Linked DNA regions of Yarrowia lipolytica. The protein of the gene in region 1 interacts with the protein of each later gene in a pairwise test. Links are inferred from orthologs where the notes say so. Each region holds a gene or a part of one and is shown on either strand. Other genes may lie near its edges.

Evidence for each region. The genes of interacting proteins can lie anywhere in the genome.
Region 2: the proteins of YALI1_D30097g (region 1) and YALI1_E21983g interact in binary tests that used the Saccharomyces cerevisiae proteins (3 or more experiments, as listed by UniProt). The link is inferred for Yarrowia lipolytica from reciprocal best matches to the Saccharomyces cerevisiae genes SNF2 and HMT1.

Annotation. Positions count from the first base shown.
Region 1 is NC_090773.1:3,006,399-3,018,433, forward strand, and holds YALI1_D30097g (uncharacterized protein), read left to right. Parts: upstream 1-3,294; coding exon 3,295-3,492; intron 3,493-4,173; coding exon 4,174-8,958; downstream 8,959-12,035. Other genes in the region: YALI1_D30161g (uncharacterized protein), read left to right, coding at 9,645-9,658, 9,993-12,035. UniProt on the Saccharomyces cerevisiae protein: Involved in transcriptional activation. Catalytic component of the SWI/SNF complex, an ATP-dependent chromatin-remodeling complex, which is required for the positive and negative regulation of gene expression of a large number of genes.
Region 2 is NC_090774.1:2,194,347-2,202,271, reverse strand, and holds YALI1_E21983g (uncharacterized protein), read left to right. Parts: upstream 1-3,954; coding exon 3,955-4,935; downstream 4,936-7,925. Other genes in the region: YALI1_E22029g (uncharacterized protein), read left to right, coding at 1-686; YALI1_E22004g (uncharacterized protein), read right to left, coding at 802-1,866; YALI1_E21962g (uncharacterized protein), read left to right, coding at 6,006-7,925. UniProt on the Saccharomyces cerevisiae protein: S-adenosyl-L-methionine-dependent protein-arginine N-methyltransferase that catalyzes both the mono- and asymmetric (type I) dimethylation of the guanidino nitrogens of arginine residues in a variety of RNA-binding proteins such as heterogeneous nuclear ribonucleoproteins (hnRNPs) and small nuclear ribonucleoproteins (snRNPs).

The DNA of each region.
Region 1 (12,035 bases):
GACCCACATTGCCCTTTCCCATTCGCCGCAACCAAATGCAGCCATGGTTCGAAACGGTAATCGTAATCGCTTATTCGAGCAACTCTGGCACAGTATGTAAGAGTGAGACATGGAACGGCAGAAAAGGGGGATCCAAAACGTGGTTCTGCTGACTAATTTTGGTCGTGAAGTGTTGCTGTAGCTGATTATCTAAGACCCGAGTGGTGGTCATGTGACCTGGCCTCCCCGCCTAACTTTCTCCTCTTACTAATATCTCTGCTTGGAAAGCGTCTGTAATCTTGGGCCTCGCATTGGCGATAATTTTTGGAGCTTATTTTAGCTGGTCGGATAAGAGCGGAGCGTGGACCGTGGAATGTGTAAACCTGTGAACGAAAGACCAAAGGTCTAGAATGGACAGCTACATGCCGTCTTATTGGAGCGGTAGACGATACGTCCATGCAAATTGTGCCCTTTCTTCTGGACCTGAATCCGGCTTTTTCTATCAAACTCCGCCCTAACTCCACCTAACTCCACAGCCAGACATGCGATTGCAATTCTAAGCGCAGTGTCGTGGTCCTCGTGGAGATCTGCACCGGATGGAGCTTTTTCTGTTCTTATTCTGCCAGTTTTCGACCAATTATCCTAGCACTTCATAAGCAACTGAAAACCTGCATTCTACCTCTTCTGGCGGAGGTCCGAAGGCTGCTTTGATGGGACGATGCACCATGTCCGTATTCGGGCCCACTTTAGGCAGTGTTGTAAAATGCCATTGGAGTTGTGGGATTAGTAAGATTAGTAACATCGGAGCTAGTGAGTTATATAGAGCAACTGAGGAGGTCTCAAGTGTGTACTTGTAGACAAATGTGACCACACATGACCCTCCTGGACCAACCTCTGACCATGTCTCATTGTCTCAGGGACAGAGTGTAATTGTAGGATATTTGGGGGGACGGGGGAGCGAAGGAGTTGCTATGGAATGAAAAGTATTGGAGTGGGAGAAGAGTGGAGAGGATGAAGATGATGAACGGGGCTTCCTCTTCCTTTAAGGGCTATCTTTTTCCATGCCAGTTGGCAATATGTGCTCATAGGCCAGACGTGTGGTTTCTCACCTCACACCTCGCGCGCGTGTCGCAGAGAAAGGCTCCGAGTTTTGTGAAATGGGCGGATATCGACGTAACAAAAACACATTTTCTTGGCATTCGCGCCATTTCAAGCTCATCTGTCTCTTCAGAATTGCGGTATCTCGTCTTCAAACTGATTTGAAGACCCCGCCCAAAAGTCGAAAATGACGGTTTGCAAATTAAGAGTAAGTTGCCATAGTCTGCATTGTGTCAGAGTTAGTTTGAGGGGGGAGGTGTTGGGGGACCATATGGCTAGTTGTACGGACCAGCTGCGGCGAAATAGGCGGCATAACCGATCTCCTCTCGGTCACGTGGTCATTTTGACGTCCCGTTGGTCGCAATCGGACCCTGTTTCCAGAATTCTACTTCGTCATATGTCCCCCATTTATCGTGTCCACCTTGGTTAGAGTTAAGGCTATACAGAGGTGATGGCGTACAAGTGTTAGTACTTGTCGCAAGTTTGAGCTGAAAAAGGCCGATTGAAAAGGGGACTAAGACGGGCCCCAACGTGCCATAGACTATTGGAAACACACCCACGCGGCCCAACCGCTCTCCACACACTTGTGCATCGGTCTGGCTGTTGCCTCATCCACACAACTCTGTGCACCTTTAGCTCGGATCTACCATAGATCGAAAGCTGCGAAAATACATGCCTTAGGCCGGGAGATGCGAGGCGACCGAGGCTGGTCTTTGTGCGGATTTGGAGTCGGAAATGGGGAGCGGAAATGAGCGTTTACAAGAGAATACGGCGACTTTCTGACGACACCAAGTCGCTCAATCCGGCCTTGAACACGGTACGGTACCGGTATCAAGACACCTTCCACCCCACTCCACCGCCTTGTCGCTTGGTATACAAGTTTACTGGTACATACTGTATGGTGTCTCTGCAACACCCTGCTGTTGTTGACCTTACATAGTCCCCCTCTGTATCCCCAAGCTTAGGAGAGATGGAGGGTGAAGCAAGCGGCAACGTTGGCATACAGTACGAGCGAGTAGAAAAAGTCGATGGAAAAAACAAGATGGTCAAAAAAAAAGAAGAGATGACCATGACGAGTACAAAACAACGACAAAACAAGAAACAAAAGAGCAGTCCAGTTGGGGCTTCCACTCTTACCAACGCCCTCTGTTCGGACTTCCGCCCGCTCCTCTCCCGCCCCTCTTCCCCCTACTCATACCGCTCTCAGCTATTCGCCTCGTCCATAAGTGTGAGGTGCTGTAGCGCTTGCTCCAAACTGCATGCACACATCGCGTGATTTACGGAGGATCCGAAAAGCTGGGGGAGCGAGATATTGCCACATGAGCGGTACCATTCGAACCGTCGTGGCGCGCTGGCTATTCCGCTCTACTTTTTGTCCCCAGGCGACCCCTATGCCGCCCACAGCATCGACATTTGCCCTCACACCACCCCTTCCCCAGGGAATACCCACCCTGACACCCGTGAGAGTTTATGGGGCTTTTTGGCAGCACCTTAAAATGATAGGCCGGACAAAGGTAGAACTGAGAAGACTCGTGGGAAACACAAGGCGGGAAACAACAGCGAGCTGGACTCATATACATACTCGCGGGAGACGACCACACAGACACAAGGACAGGGACACTGGCGCCACCCCAACAGGCAACCCGGTCCCCATCGTAGGGTGCGTTTTCTCGTCGTCATGCGCTCGCCACAGCTCCTAACTCTAAAAAAAAGCAAAACACAAGGACAAGAATCCACACTCACATGAAGAGACAGAAGCCAGGTTTTATCTTATCTTTGGCTAAATTGGGCAGAGGCAAAAATACCGGTTGGTAGTCCCCTCTTTGGCCTGCAAAAGAGACACGTTAGTTGTCGCTGGGTGGGTCGCTACAACACGTCGTTGTCCCAACGGCCTCCCATTGGCTGGACCTCCACACCCCCAGTTCGGGAAGTGTACCCTGCGCCCTGCTTACCCAATACGTAGTTTGCCACACTAGGGAGTCGTCCGCCGGCGCAAAAGACTGAATCCCCAACCCTCTGGTGCGCCCGCTCCCCCCCCATCCACGCACTACGCTCCACACAGCATAGCTACCGAGGTTACAAAGAGTGACAAGCCGGAAAGCATTTCGAGCGCTCAGCACATCACGTGACACGCGTTAGTGAGTAGCAGCACGCAGCACACGCAACACGCTCCACGACAGGACGACCTCGTCTAACACAGTGAACTCATACCCCAACATGCAAAGCGACATGGGCATGGGTCCCCAGGGATTCATGGACGGAATGATGGACTCGGGCATGGGCCAGATGGACGCGCAGAGCGATCTGGCTACGCCATCGCCTAGCTTTGGCAACAGGCAGGGTCCGGGAACTCCGATGATGGATATGGCGGTGCAGCCGCCGCGAAATATGGAGGATATGAACAGGATTTATGCGGTGAGTATGAGCAGCGCGGGCAGAGCGAGCCAAGCGAGCAGGGCGAGCAGCGAAGTTGCCAGTCTCTCAGTACGCGATAACGTCAACGCTATCAGTCTCGTCAAGTGCACGATGGGACATGATGAAACTGGACAGAAAGATGCACGTGGACGACGTGATGGACGACCTTAATCTATCGCGTGTGAATGATGTCAGCAGTATATCGATCCCACTGACGTCGTCGACACATCATCGATGATGATGAGTTACCCACGACGGGCACTTCCAGACGCGATCTCAGACACACCTCGAGAGACGATGATGACGTTGACAATTATAACCAACGACGCGACTATAGCTGTTATAGTGATCATGGATGTCGATGCATCATGTTCGGTGCAACGATGTCATCACAACAATGACGGTGCCGCGTTGACGTGTCAAGGACTGTTGTTCACGGGTGTCGTCGACGTCGTCAATGATGGCACAGGCATGATCATCGACGTGATGATTCATTGGCACTACCAAATATCTCTGTGTTTTCAGCAGCTAAAGGCACCGTTGTCGTAGGCGTTGTTGACACACCAGTCGTGTCTATAGTCTACAGATGATGTCCGACGTCATATCGTCGTTTTCCACCGTGACTGCCTCACTCAATGGTCTTCTCGTGACGTATGACTACTCGTTCCTCTACTAACCCAGCGCTACAAAGAACTCCAGACCCGTCTCGGAGCCAACGCCAGCTCTTCCCAAGAGTTCGTCGAGCTCTCCAAAATTCTCAAAGCGTACTCGCAACGCCAGCATATGTTCCGCCAGCAGCAACAGCAGCAGCAACAGCAGCAGCACCGGATGAAGGCCATGGGCCAGCCGCAGCAGATGCAGCAGGGCACACCCCAGGGCAACATGACGCCCCAGATGGGCACTCCTCAATTCCCCTCGCCTGGCCAACCCCAGCAGCCCCAGCAACAGCGCAAACCCTCCTCTGCAGGCATGTACCAGAACTCCAACAGCAGCATGCAGAGTATGAACGGCTCTCCCGTTCCGCCCCACAATCAGCCCGGTGTCGTGGGTGCCCAGGGCATGCCCCGGCAGTCGCCCACACCCCACCTGGAGCCACAGCAACAGAACTCACCATACACACCTGACATGCTCATGCAGATGAAGAACCAGCTCATGGCGTACCGACAGCTGAGCAAGGGTGCTGTCATTCCCCCTCAGGTGCTTCAGGCGCTGTTCAGACCCACTGGCCAGCCTCCTCAGATGACTCAGCCCCAGCAGCAGCCTCCGCAGCAGCAGCAGCAACCTCAGATGACTCAGCAACAACAACAGCAGCCCCCGATGCAGCAGCCTTCCATGGGTCAACCCCCGATGGCTCAGCAGATGCAGTCGCCCGCTGGCATTCCTCAGAGCCCCATGTTCCAGAACGCCAACCGGTCGCAGTCACCGGCCGTGTCTTCCGATACAAACTCTCCTGGCATGGGCAAGCGACGAACTCCCTCTCAGACTGGCCTGAGACGATCGTCCAAACAGGAGATCGACGGAGTGACTCCCATCGCAGCCCCCGCTGTCCCTCCCCCTCCTCCAGCTGCTCCAGAAACCATTTCTGGCTACAAGGATCCCTGTCTCCTTTTGGAGGGAACCTTTTCTTTCGATGATATCACCACTCCCGCGTTCCTGGACAAGCGTCGAACCTTTATTCCATCAATTATGCCCCGTGGTATGGACGCCGAGGTGATCAAAGATCTGTACGAGGAGCAGGTTAACAAGCAGATTAGTGATCGGATTACTGAGCTCAAGGAAGGTGATCTAGATGTGCCAGAGCTTGACGAGGAAGTCGACGAGGAGTCTGCTGACTCAACTGGTTCCGATGACACCACAGCACTAGACAACGCAATCGAGCTCAAATCACTGCAGTTAATCGACCACCAAAAGGCCTGGAGAGGCGATCTCCTTGCTGACACGTTCTACTTCAACTCTGTCGGTCTGGATCCCTACAACAAGATCTACTTCACACGTATGAAGAAGACTTCGCTCCAGGAAGCGTTCATGACCGAACAGTTTGGCACGCAGCAGCTCATGGAGCGCCAGCGACACGAGGTGCGAGTGCGGTCCGAGCAGCTCATCCACATCTGCAAGCACGCGCAGGACACAATCAACGCATCTCGTTCAAGACGACTACGACAGGCTCGTGTCGCCAAGGCATGTCAGAACTATCACGTGTTCACTGAGCGTGAGGAGCAGAAGCGAATGGAGCGAAACGCCAAGCAGCGACTGCAGGCTCTGCGGGCCAACGACGAGGAAGCCTACATCAAGCTGCTTGACCAGACCAAGGACACGCGTATCACAGATCTACTGCGACAGACCAATACGTTCCTGGACTCGCTTGCGCAGGCTGTCAAGGACCAGCAGAAGAGCAACAACAGCAACGGCAATCACGTCGACTTTGGTCCTCAACAAGATATGGATGACGAGGATCCCGACAACCAGAAGAAGGCCGACTACTATGCGGTTGCTCATCGAATCCAGGAACCCGTCAGCAAACAGCCCGATATGCTTGTGGGTGGTCAGCTTAAGGAATATCAGATCAAGGGTCTTCAGTGGATGCTCTCTCTATTCAACAACAACCTGAACGGTATCTTGGCCGATGAGATGGGTCTTGGAAAGACAATCCAGACGATTTCGCTCATTGCCTATCTCATTGAGACCAAGAAGATTCCTGGACCTTACCTGGTCATTGTCCCACTCTCCACGCTCACCAACTGGACGCTCGAGTTCGAAAAGTGGGCGCCTGCTATCAAAAAGCTCGTCTATAAAGGCCCCCCCATGGCCCGTAAGGCGCAGCAGAACGCTATTCGAGCCGGAGACTTCCAGGTACTGCTCACGACCTATGAGTACATCATCAAGGACCGGCCTGTGCTGTCTCGAATCAAGTGGGTCCACATGATTATTGATGAGGGTCATCGAATGAAGAATGCGCAGTCCAAGCTGTCGTCCACCCTGACTCAGTACTACCACACCCGGTACCGACTCATTCTGACAGGTACTCCTCTCCAGAACTCGCTTCCCGAGCTGTGGGCCCTGCTCAACTTTGTGCTGCCCAAGATTTTCAACTCGGTCAAGTCGTTTGACGAGTGGTTCAATACCCCCTTTGCGTCTACTGGTGGCCAGGACAAGATGGATCTTTCCGAAGAAGAGACTTTGCTGATCATCAAACGTCTCCATAAAGTCCTCCGACCATTCCTTCTGCGACGTCTCAAGAAGGATGTGGCCAAGGATCTGCCTGACAAGGTGGAAAAGGTGCTCAAGTGCAAGATGAGCGCTCTACAGTCCAAGCTGTACCAGCAGATGATCAAACACAATGTCTTGTTTATTGGTGAGGGTGTTCAGGGTGCTACAAAGACCGGATTGAAGGGTTTAAACAACCAGGTCATGCAGCTACGAAAGATTTGCAATCATCCCTTTGTGTTCGAGGAGGTTGAAGATCTGGTGAACCCCAACCGACTGACAAACGATAACCTGTGGCGAACTGCAGGTAAATTCGAGCTCCTGGACCGAATTCTGCCCAAGTTCAAGGCTGCAGGTCACCGTATTCTCATGTTTTTCCAGATGACGCAGATCATGGATATTATGGAAGATTTCATGCGGCTCAAGGGCTGGCAATACCTTCGACTTGATGGTGGAACAAAGTCCGAGGACCGATCCGGTCTGCTTGGGAAGTTTAATGCCCCCGACTCGCCCTACTTTGCCTTCCTGCTGTCCACTCGAGCCGGAGGTCTTGGTCTGAACTTGCAGACGGCCGACACAGTCATCATCTACGACACTGACTGGAACCCCCATCAGGATCTGCAGGCTCAGGACCGTGCGCACCGAATCGGTCAGACAAAGGAAGTGCGAATCCTGCGGCTTATCACCGAAGACTCTGTTGAAGAAAATATTCTCGAGAGGGCGCACAAGAAGCTGGATATCGACGGCAAGGTCATTCAGGCCGGTAAGTTTGATAACAAGTCGACAGCAGAGGAGCAGGAGGCGTTCCTGCGAGGTCTGCTTGAGCGGGAGGAAAAGCAGAAGGAAAAGGGCGACGATGACGTGGACGACGAGGAGCTCAACGAGATTCTGGCTAGAAATGACGAGGAGCGAATCTTGTTTGCGCAGCTCGATGCGGAACGACACGCCACGTCCCAGTATGGCAAGGGCAAGATTGAAAGACTTTTCACTGAAGAGGAGCTGCCAGAGGCGTATAAGCGGGACATCAAGCTGGCTGTGGAGCCCATCAACACAGACCAATTTGGCCGTGGAGCCCGAGAGCGAAAGGTCTTGCACTACGACGATGGACTCACCGAGGAGCAGTGGCTCGAGGCTATCGACAATGACGTTGACATGGATGAGACCATTGCCAAGAAGCGGGCCGACAACAAGCGACGGCAGGCCAAGAAGAGTGGTGCGGCCGCTGCAGCTGCGACTGCGTCTCCCCTGGACGAGCTGGAGGACCTTGATTCTCCCGGAGTCAAGCGAAAGCGGTCTCGAAAGCAGACCAAGGATCCGATGATGCAGGTGGAGGACGAGCAGCCCAAGAAGAAGGCTCGGGGAAGGGGTAGACCCAAGGACACACTGACCCCCGAGGCTCGAAAGGCGCTGCTGGGCATCATGAAGACGCTGTACAACCACGTGTTGAATGTGGAGGACTCGACTGGCCGGGCCCGAATCAATCTGTTTTTGGAGCTACCCAGCAAGACGGACTACCCAGACTACTACATTCTCATTAAGCAGCCGATTTCGTGCGCCCAGATCTCGAAGCGAATCCAGAGCTCGTACTACCAGAGCCTGGATCAGTTTCTTGAGGAGTTTGCCCTCATGTTTGCCAACGCGAAGCAATATAATGAGGAGGGCTCGTTTGTGTACGAGGATGCAGTGGCGCTGCATAACGCGTTGTTGGACAAGGCCAGCACAATGGAGGGTGTGGAAAGTACGAGGGCGCTGAAGGAGGAGGGCCAGACTCAGTCTGGTACACAGTCTGGCCCCTCGTCTGCTTCTGGCCAGTCGGGCCAGTCTTCCGGACAGTCCCAGCAGGTGTCTCAGCCTCAGATTCCTCAGCAGGTGTCTCAGGTAGCCCAACAGGTGCCTGCTCCTGCTCCTACACCCCAAGTTGTGTCCCAGGCTGTTCAGCAGCCTCCTCCCCAGGCTGTTCAACCCGTGCAAGCCCAGCCAGCTGCACCTTCTCAGGCGATGCATCTGCCCCCCATGGACATGATGAATCTCCACAACGGCCACGGACAGCAGCAGCCGCAACAGCCAGCTGCACCCGCCCCCGGAATGCACCTCGGCGACATGAACTCTCCCGGGTTCGACTCCCGGTTCGACTTGCACCACGAACTCGGAGGCGGTATCCAGGAGGATATGCATCTGGACGAGTTTACTGACAACTACTTGGGCGATTTCACTACCATGGGAGGGTCCTTTGGAGTGGGTGACGATTATAAACACGAGTGATAGAGAATGTATTATTAGGATTATGAGCTGTGGACTGAAGACAGGAGCCGTAGTGAGTACCCACTCTGCTGTAGACCTGAGCAGTAGTTCTGCTATGCATGCATCGTAGCTATGTGAGTTTGACACTCGTCTGTGTGAGCGTCACCGAGTGAGCTGTAAGGATGAACATCAAGCGGAGAGGAGCGTGAAGTGTGCCAGGGTGCCAGAGTGCCTTGAGGCATCTTCGGGGATAAGGGAGGAGGTTATCAGGCGTCATCTTTCACTCAAAAATATCTTTTGTCAGACTAGCCTGGGCAATTTTTTAAGCTAAGTAAACCCAAGCAGTGCCCATATTTTGATCTAACTGAAATCAAGAAGATTTTATTTTTAATAGTAGGAAATTAGTTGAGATGAATTGGTGACTTGATAGAGCTCAGTCACCCGACAAAGCTCATAATCTCATTCCAGGGAAAAGGGATCCAGAGTTACCTGCACGTCGTGTTTATTTTTACCGCCCGTATTTTCGTATCTTCTACCGCTGACTCAGTGCTCCACTCCATCCTCTTATCATTGTCTCATGGACTCCGGTCAAGCTCTGCCTGCATGGAACGGCATTCCGGGGTGCATATATGAAGGACACCAAAGCCCAACACGTTTACCTGTGTACCACGAAACTTGCCATCAGCACCATACCGCCTACTGACAACATGTGTGGATCTGAGTGAGTACAATTGGCAGGAATGAGCGGTCTGACGTTGGCAGGGCAGAAATAAGTTGGCCAGTGACATACAGAGAGAGAGAGAGAGAGAGAGAGAGAGAGAGAGAGAGAGAGAGAGAGAGAGAGAGAATTGAATCACTCTCTGCCACCAGATCAGAGGGACTAAGGCACTACCACAAGCTACTGCTGTTTCTTCTTTTCTGTCTGAATCGATTCAGCGGTATTCTGCTTCTGTTATGGGACCAGTGGTAGCTACTCGATCTTGTGTCTCCAACTCCGTTAAGCCAATCTTCCGTCTCCAGCTTTGGGATGAATCGGTCAATGAGCGCTAACACAGCCCCTCTTCTACGTCCCGGGTGCTCCTACCCACAGACTTCACGCCCAAGTTCTACCACCTGACTCTGGAGCCTGACTTTACCACCTTCAAGTACAATGGCCAATGCGACATTTCTCTCGAAGTTAACACTCCCACCGACACCCTCACTGTCAACTCGATTGATCAGGAGATCTCCCGAGTTGCCATTGAAGAAATTGGAGAGGCGACCGTCACCTACGACAAAGATGCCGAAACGGTCACGTTTAAGTTCCCCAAGATTATTGATCTCGACGAGGTCAAGGTCAAAATCACATTTGTCGGCATTCTCAACGACCTGCTCAACGGTTTCTACAAGAGCACATACACGGATGAGGCGGGAAACAAAAAATACCTCGCCACTACCCACATGGAGCCTGCTTCTTGCCGACGAGCATTCCCCTGTTTCGATGAGCCTGCACTCAAGGCGGTTTTTAACATCACCCTAATTGCAGACAAGAATCTCACGTGTCTCTCCAACATGGCTGTGCGAAACGAGGAGCCCCATGATGGCGGCCAAAAAAAGAAAGTGACGTTCAAACCCACTCCGCTCATGAGCACCTACCTCGTGGCGTTTGTGGTGGGTGAGCTCGACTACGTCGAGGACACTACCAACTACAGACTTCCTGTGCGAGTCTACGCCACTCCTGGCAAGGCACACAAGGGCAAGTTTGCCGCCGAATACGGAGCCAAGACGCTCACATACTTTGAGAAGATCTTTGGCATTGATGTGCCTGTCGAAAAGATTGATCTCATTGGCATTCCCGATTTTGCCATTGGAGCGATGGAGAACTGGGGTCTGATCACTTTCAGAGATGCAGCATTGCTCTACGACGCTGAAACCTGTTCTCTGTCTCAGAAGCAGCACTGTGCTGAGATTGTCATGCACGAGCTGGCCCATCAGTGGTTTGGCAATCTTGTCACCATGGATTGGTGGGAGGGTCTGTGGCTCAAGGAGGGCTTTGCCACCTGGATGTCGTACCTTGCGATGGATCATTTCTTTCCCCAGTGGAACATCTGGGAGGGCTTCTACACCGCCAATGTCGTCAGAGCTCTCGATCTCGACTGTCTGCGATCGTCTCATCCCATTGAGGTCAATGTTCGAACTGCCAAGGAGCTGCCGCAGATCTTTGATGCCATCTCTTATTCCAAGGGAGGTTCTGTCCTGCGGATGATCTCTGACTACCTCGGTCTAGATGTCTTCCTTAAGGGCGTCTCCAAGTACCTCAAGGATCACGCCTATGGATGCACAGTGACCACCGATCTGTGGGACGCTCTTGCTTCCACTTCTGGCAAAGACGTGGTTTCGATCATGACCACCTGGACCAAGAAGGTTGGTTACCCTTACGTAAAAGTTGAGAATGGAGATGGCGAGACCAAGGTGACCCAGCATCGGTTCCTGTCTTCCAATGATGTGACTCCCGAAGAAGACACTCTCTATCCTGTGCTTTTGGAGCTACTGGACGCTTCAACTGGTAAGATCGACAAGAGTCTCGAGCTACGTGACAGAACCTCCACAATCAAGACCCCCTTTGTATTCAAGCTCAATGCCCACCAGGTTGGTACGTACCGAACTCTTTACCCCTCTGCCCTTGTTGCGCTACTCGTTGACTCCGTTCATCTTTCGTCTTTTGATCGGGCAGGCCTCGTGGATGACATGACTGCATTCTCTTCCTGCGGTTTGGCGCCTACCACTGATCTCCTCAAGTTGTTGTCTTCCATCAAGGGCAACGATTCGCTGATTGTGTGGGAGATGATTGCCGGGGCCTTTGGTGAGCTCGACGCGCTGCTGCGGTTTGCTGACAAGTCTACGCTCGTGAAACTGCGAAATCTGCGTCTGTTTGTGCTTTCGGCCGCTCCCTTTGATCTCACTTCCTGGCCCGAAGATGAGGACGAGATTGTGCAGCAGGTGAAGGCTCTGCTCTTCGCCTTTGCTGTCTCCTCTGAGCATCCTGCTGTGACCGGCTACGCCAAGGGTCTGTTTGACTCCTACATTGAGACCCCCACCACTCGAATCAATCCCAACAT
Region 2 (7,925 bases), on another chromosome or scaffold:
CGGTTTTGTACCAACAAAAGGAGGACATTCGGTCTGTGAACGCCCCCAAACAGGCGGTGCCCAAAAAGAAACAAAAGGCCATCAAGTACAACTTATCTAATGCTGGGGGGCGGGCTGCGCAGGAAGAGGCCATCAAACAGATGGAGGAGGAGAACCGGCAGGCGCAGGAGGCCAAGGAGAAGGAGCTTCAGCAGGCCAAGGAGCGGCTTGACACCCTGATGGCGTTCCAGGACAGTCAGGCGGAGAGAACCCGGATCATCGACAACGTGGGCGACTTTGAACTGCCCTCGGCAGGTGTCAACCAGTGGGCTTCGGCGACAGAGAGGGCGTTGCAGCTCAAGAAGCAGCAGCGGCAAATGGCCAAGATGGAGGAACGAGACGCTCGGAAAAAGGGCAAGAAGCATGTCATTTCGCTGGGTCTGGATGGCAAGATCCGAGAGCAGGAAATGGAGGACGATAGCACAGATGACGAGGAGTTGAGAGAACTTGAGTCCAAGATCAAGTCTGAAAAGCAAGAGGTGGCGGAGCTGAACTCGCAGAACGTGTGGAACCCGGCCATGGCTGACTCCAAGTTGAAGCGCGTCAAGTACGTGTCTAGAGGAGATGTTCAGGAGCGACGGGTTGAGGAGAGGGGCATTATTGACATTGACGGTGAGGATGATGAAGAGCGGCTCATGCGGTTGTAGGGATAGGTAAATACTCGTAATCTATATCATTCATATTCAGGTAATATCTACAAAGTGTTAGTTATACAAGTAATTGCTCTCTTGTTTTCGTTCAGAATAAATAATTACATGGCGCCTACAGAATAGGCAGAAAGTTGCCGACAATCATCATGGGAATGTCAAACACGTCTCGTTTGATGGTCAGCGAACACGCCGTGTTGACCACCTCGCCTGAGGGTTTGGTGAGGCCAAACGTGGTGGTAATCGTGCCTCTGCTGTCTCCAAACGCCAGCTCGGAGAAGACGTCAAAGTACTGTACCACAGACTTGTTGTCCATGCACTCGATGATGAACTGACTCAGCAAATCTGCCTGCGATCGCATCGTCAGCACACAAAACTCCTTTCCAACGGCAGCTATCTGGCCGGTTCGTCTCCAGAGCACCGTGGGCGTTCCACTTAACGAAATGTACTTTTCAAACTCCAGCAGCGTGCGTTGGAAGCACTTTTCCATGAACACAAGATCTTCGTACTGCAGGGTCTGGGTGGTGGCTATGAACGACGGCCGGTAGAAGGCCATGCTTTTGACCACGTCCAGTAGCTCCTTTTTCTCGAACCGGCTTTTGAGATACGCAATCAGCGCATGGAACCCCGTTGTGTACGCATAGGGCTTTGTTATACTGGTGTAGATGTCTGTCGGCGATCCCTGGGGCGTTCCCGCAGTTTGGCTGCCTTCTTCCTCCATGTGAAGACCCGGAATCGACATGGGAGACGGCATATGGGGACTTTGGGCGGGAAAGAAGTCTGGAGGTGAAGACGTGTCTCCGCGACCCAGAATGTTGGACAAGATGGAGTATTCCAAGTTGGCGGCAGACGAGCCGAAGTCCGTGTCCGGAGGGCCCATTCCATGCTGCACCGCCTGCTGTTGCTGTTGCTGTTGCTGCTGTTTCTGTTGCGTCGCTTGTCCTGGAGGCGTCGGAGGGAGTCCCACCAAGTACTTTGCCTGTTTCCGCTTGCCGTCCACGCACTGGTCTCCCATGTTTTTCTTGATGCAGCGAGCGCACGGGCGGCCCTCGTCACAGGTCAGATGGGCCTTCTGGCAATGCAGACAGGCCCGAGCGGTCTTTCGCCGCTTTTTAGGAGCCGGAGGAGGAGGTGGACTCTCCTGTTTGGCCGGACCTCGCAGTATGGGGTAGAAGGACATGGGTCACGTGAGAGAGAAAATGAGTAGGTCGGGGGGGGGGCCGGGGCCGATGAAGCGATGAGACGGTGGTTGAAAAGGCCTCTGTGGAAGCGCTTACGCGTGTTTTCTGGTGTCCGCTGGATCGTTCTCAAACTGTGCTGAATAGCCCTGGTGTAATGTCCCGCGGAGTTGAATTTTATTGGATGAAAGTTGTTCCGTTTCCCCGCAGGAGTCTAAATCCCCCTCTAGTCGACAAGCCCAAGAGCCTCTTGGCGCACGGGGAAGGAGATATATAGGGCATGTGGAGAGAGACAGTATAATCAGCTACAAGTTTCTACCAAAAAATTGTGACCAAAAGTCGAGCAAACAACAAGGTATTTTTTTGCCTTTGGTCAAGCGACCGTGGGAGACGGATAGGGTTCAGGAAAAACTAGACGCACAAATCACGTGCTGTGACTGAGCCACAGGGCGGATATTTCGAGGCATATTCTATCGCACTAGCGGGATGGATGGTTGAGCGTCGGGCTGACCTGGTCCTATGGTGCAGTGGGGTCACGTGACGTGGGTTTGGGTCGTCGTTTGTTGGGTCACGTGGCAGGTGTTTACCATTTTTGGACACTTTCAAAGAATATAATATCATTAATATCATTAATATCATTAATATGATTTTGGACTTTTATTTCATTTTGGACTTTCTTTTTTTTTTTTCTCTTTTTTTTTGACTACAAGTAGCTTATTCATTGGACTACATTCTCAATTGGACTTCATTGCCAACAGGACTCTTCCCCATGGGAATAATACATGACTAAAACTGTACGTCTTAGTCATCCATTGACGGTTCGCGAATCGCAAAATATTCTGGTCGCCGTCGGACTCTGTTGAGTCCAGAATGGCGTTGTAGTCTAGTCTCACTTTGGTTGGGGTTGGATACGGCGCGGAACAACTAACCTCCAGCATCAACAATGGCTTGAAGCATGATCTGGTAAGAATGGGACCATTGTAGCAGCTGTCTCTTGGCAGAGAGTCCCGTCTAGACTGCTTTGATTGGCTGATTGGCTACCAAGCTGGTTACCATTCGACTGTCGACTGTCGACTGTTGACTCCGCCAGGTATATGCCGGTTTACGCTACGAGTAGTGTTGGTGGCTGTTCGGTAAACCAGCCTGTGCCTTACCGGCCGTTGTGGGCGCTATTCGAGCTACGGCCTAGATCAATTCCGGGGAGCATTGAGCGAATACTACGCCATGGGCTGAAAGAGCAACGAGCGAGACTCAACTGGCCTAACAGTCATTGAACTGACTGGATACCGACGAGAGACCCGAAGGAGAATTGCCGGCGATAGTAAGGCTGAAACAAGTTGCAGGTAGGGAAGGGTGACTATCGAGCCGAGTCGAGTCGAGTCGGGTCGAGTTCGGGTTTGGTACGGGCCGACTCCTCAGTCGGTATGAGTTCATTAATGGTCATAGGTGAAACTGTAGCTCCAAGAGATGCTGTCACCAAAAAGGATACCTTTTTTGAAGGTATAAACTAGGAGAACTCACCATCAAGTCCATCGGAAATACCTGTTTCCCCTTACCTGGTCATAACCTGTCCGTACACTGGTCCACGATAACCATCAATGTCACATTACCGCTACGACAAACTTCACAGTATAAAGAAGGAGATGAGGAAATCTCATAATAAACACCCGTAATTGATACGGGTTAATCAGCACGAGAGGTGATTCCCCAACCACCAGTCTGTCGATCAACAATCAATTTCTTGCCGTTTGTTCCACCACCAAATTCGCGATATTCGTCATTCTCGACTCCTACAGGGTTCATGCGAGTGTTGTGAAAAATATCCCATGGTTTGAGCTAAACAGCACGGTCAGGAGGGGGTTATGGTGGTCAGATTTGGACCACGGATATTTCGTTGTGGTTTTTGAAGCCGTAGAAATTGATTCCACAAACAAAAACCGTCATTTTCAAGCCGCAACACCCTCTTTCGGTCTCTGACCCACCTGCATGGTTGGTCGATAAAGTTATCGTGCATAGCTGGGAAATTTTTATAAAGAAGCTTTCTTCTTCTCACCACCATTGTTGACCCGACCTCTTACCGCACACCCACAATGTCCCTCCCATACTCCGAGCAGCACTACTTTTCGTCGTACGACCACTTTGGCATCCATGAGGAGATGCTCAAGGACGAGTCGCGAACTCTGTCGTACAAGCACGCAATTCTGCGAAACCGAGACCTGTTCAAGGACAAGATTGTGCTGGATGTGGGCTGTGGAACCGGCATTCTGTCCATGTTTGCTGCGCAGGCCGGTGCCAAGCATGTCATGGGCGTGGACATGTCCAACATCATCGAGATGGCCCGAAAGATTGTCGATCTTAACGGACTCAGCGACAAGATTACCCTGATCCAGGGCAAGATGGAGGAGATCACCCTACCCTACCAGAAGGTGGACATTATCATCTCCGAGTGGATGGGCTACTTCCTGCTCTACGAATCCATGCTGGACACGGTGCTGTACGCCCGAGACAAGTACCTGGTCCCCGGAGGTATTATCATGCCCGACAAGTCCACCATCTACGCCGCTCTTTTGGAGGACGGCGAGTACAAGGACGAAAAGGTGTCCTTCTGGGACGACGTCTACGGCTTTGACTACTCGCCCTTCAAGGACATTGTGCTGTCCGAGCCTCTGGTCGACACCGTGGACCTCCGACACGTCATCTCCAACCCCTGCCAGGTGTTTGAGATCGATCTGTACACCGTCAAGGTGGAGGATCTGGCCTTCAAGGCCAACTTTGACCTCAAGGCCCGGGTCAACGACACTGCCCACGCTATTCTGTGTTGGTTCGACATTGAGTTCAACAAGCTCACCACCCCCGTCAAGTTCTCCACCGGCCCCCATGCCAAGTACACTCACTGGAAGCAGACTGTCTTCTACATTGACGGCCAGGTGTCTCTGCGAGCCGGTGACGAGGTGACTGGATCCATTGACTGCCGACCCAACGAGAAGAACAACCGAGATCTGGACATTACTCTGGAGTGGGAGTGCAAGGCTGAGAACAAGGGCGGCAAGCGATTTTACTGCATGAAATAAGCTGGCACGACGACTACTGTAGATCCCACTGTCGGCTCACCGAGTGGCAAGCCAAGCTGTGGCTTTCACTGGAACGGTCTAACAAAAAATTATGTATAGAATGTTAATTGTATTTTTTATGACGACTAACAAGCGGCGAGTACAAGTGAGAGAGATGTGGGTGCTAGGAGACCATTTCTGCTCTATTTCTGCTTTGCAGTACAAATCCTACACCCATCTAGTACATACCAACTAAATCTTACTTTTCTTCCACTAATCACACTCAACAACGAGACGCTGAAATGAAGATATCTCTGATTATTGTGGTGTAGAGATTCTCAAAAGTCATTATTACTTATCAAGTTGCTGATCGACTATCCACACAGCAACTTTCCTAGTCTCCACCGTTTCTACAACCCCGTAAATGAACCCCCAGCTGAATTTTCATCCCCAGTAATTTCAACTAACTTCCTCAACTAGATTGTTAAGATTAGAAGCAGTTCTGTCATCGTCTTGACTCCAACAACCGTGTCTCAGTTCGATTTCCGGTTGGAAAATTTTGATCCGAAAAATTAACGAGCCAATCAATCACACCGAGAAACGAAAGAAAAAGACGGCGGTCACGTGACCCGAGCCAAGGGGGGGAAGGGGCGGGGGGGGAGCCGGGGGGGGTGGGTCACGTGTTTGGACTGTATGGGCTCCGGCTAGGTCACGTGTTTGGATTGATAATGGTAGCTTCTTGTACTAAACTTGTACAGGTCTCCATGGGTGTAATTAGGATTACGCGCATGTACGGCGTTTTGCGTGTATTTTTCATCCCACCATCAGATTGCCTATCGTGTGATGTCTGGGGGGTTGAAAAAATGGCAAGAAAAGCAGCTGAAAAAAGTGCTGATAAGTAGCATTATATATATACATATATATATCTGTGTGTCATGTTGCCCCAAACTCTGGTTGGGTCGTTTCACGTGCACAATCACGTCCTCACCTCCATACAATAATCTGTACTGGTGGTGCTACTGTCGACATATGCACAACCTCCCAGCGGCGTTTCTCTCCACCATCACGACCTGCGCCCTCTCAACATCGACATGTCGGGCAACAACTCACCAATAAACGCGCAGCTGTTCCCCGATGCTCGCGACGTGACCAAGGACGCGCTTCAGACATTTGTGGAGCTCCCGGAGTGCACGTACATGAAGGGTCTGGGCTCGTCTCAGCAGGCGGAAGTCATGGCGTGTGACTGTAAGCCCGGGCCCACGGCGTGTGACGAGGACAGCGGGTGCATCAACCGACTCACTTCCATCGAGTGTGTTCGGTGCTGCAAGGGCTGTCAGAACAAACGGTTCCAGGGCAAAAAATACGCATCGGTGGACGTGATCAGCACAGAAAAGAAGGGGTTTGGACTGCGGGCCACCAAGGACATCGCCGCCGGCGAATTTGTCTACGAGTACGTGGGCGAGGTGATTGACGAGCCGACCTTCAAGGAGCGAACGGCCATCTACACGACCCAGGGCGTCAAGCATTTCTACTTTATGATGCTGCAAAAGGGCGAGTTCATCGACGCTACCGCCAAGGGAGGACTGGGTCGGTTCTGCAACCATTCGTGCGCGCCTAATGGCCACGTGGAAAAGTGGGTCGTGGGCAAACGGCTCAGAATGGGCATTTTCGCATCTCGACACATTCAAAGGGGAGAAGAGGTCACGTTTGACTACAACGTGGACCGGTACGGAGCCGAGGCCCAGGCGTGCTACTGCGGCGAGAAAAACTGTGTCGGCTTTCTCGGCGGAAAAACGCAGACGGAAAGCGCCAGCAAGGTCTCCGGCACCTTGACCGCTGCTCTGGGTCTCACGTCCAGAGATATCAACGCCATTCTGAGAGGCAAAAAGTCGGCCGAGGACTTGCGACCCCGAGACCTGACCGTGCAGGACGTGTCCAAGGTCATGGCGTCTCTCATGATGAACCAGGAAGCCTGGCAGGTCAACCTCATGCTGCAGCGTATTGCTCTGTGCACAGACACGTCCGTCCAGGCAGCAGTCATGAAGATGCATGGATACCAGATCTTCGCGCAGATTCTGACCGCCACGTGGGGCGACAATCCTCTTGGGCTGGACGACAGCGACCGCGTGAACGTGACGCTGATGCTGCTGCGAGTCCTGCAAAAGTGGCCGCGAATCACAAAGAACAAAATCTCCAGTTCGCAGATTGAAAACGTGGTCAAGAGCCTGACGTCCAACGACAACAGTGACATTGCCACCATTGCCCAGGAGCTCTTGTCTGAATGGGCAAACCTGAAAATGGCTTTCCGAATCCCACGACGAAAAATTGATCCCGACGGAGACGAGCATTCGGTCTCTAGAGGTACCAGCGAGGAGGTCACCAAGGAGAGCTCCAAGTCTGAGGAGCCCAATGATGTGGAAGTTGTCAAGGTGAACAAAAAAGCAGATAACAACGGAAACGGCGTTACTGATTCGCCGTCCACCCGCTCGGAATCCCCCTTCACCTTCATCCCCACCCCCTACTCTAACAAAACAGCCCCCAAGGGCCCCAAGAAGGCCGTCAAGCAGCCTGCATCACCCATGGTGCCTCCAAGGAGCCTGCCTAAGGGCTGGCAGTTTGCGAACGACCCGCAGGGCAAGGTGTACTACTACAATCTCGAGCTGAACATCCAACAGTGGGATTTCCCCAAGGCGTCACGTGCGAGCTCACCCTCGACCCCCAAGGGCCCCAAGGGCCCCAAGGGTCCCCGTGGCAACCGTCGAGACGAGAGACGGGACAATTCCGAGACCCGAGAGCCGCTTTCTTTGCAGTCACAGCGCGAGAGTGATCTCCAGCGCATCATTGAGCAGGCTCGGTTGCAGGAGGTGAAAAATAACAGCGAGCCGGCTCCTTCTGCGTCTGCCAAGCCCGTGAACGCGCAGGCGCATCGGCTGACTAAACTGCTGGCCAAGGTGGTGCCCAATCAAGTGTCCAAATACGACGTTGATCGGGAGCGGGCGAAAAAGTGTTCT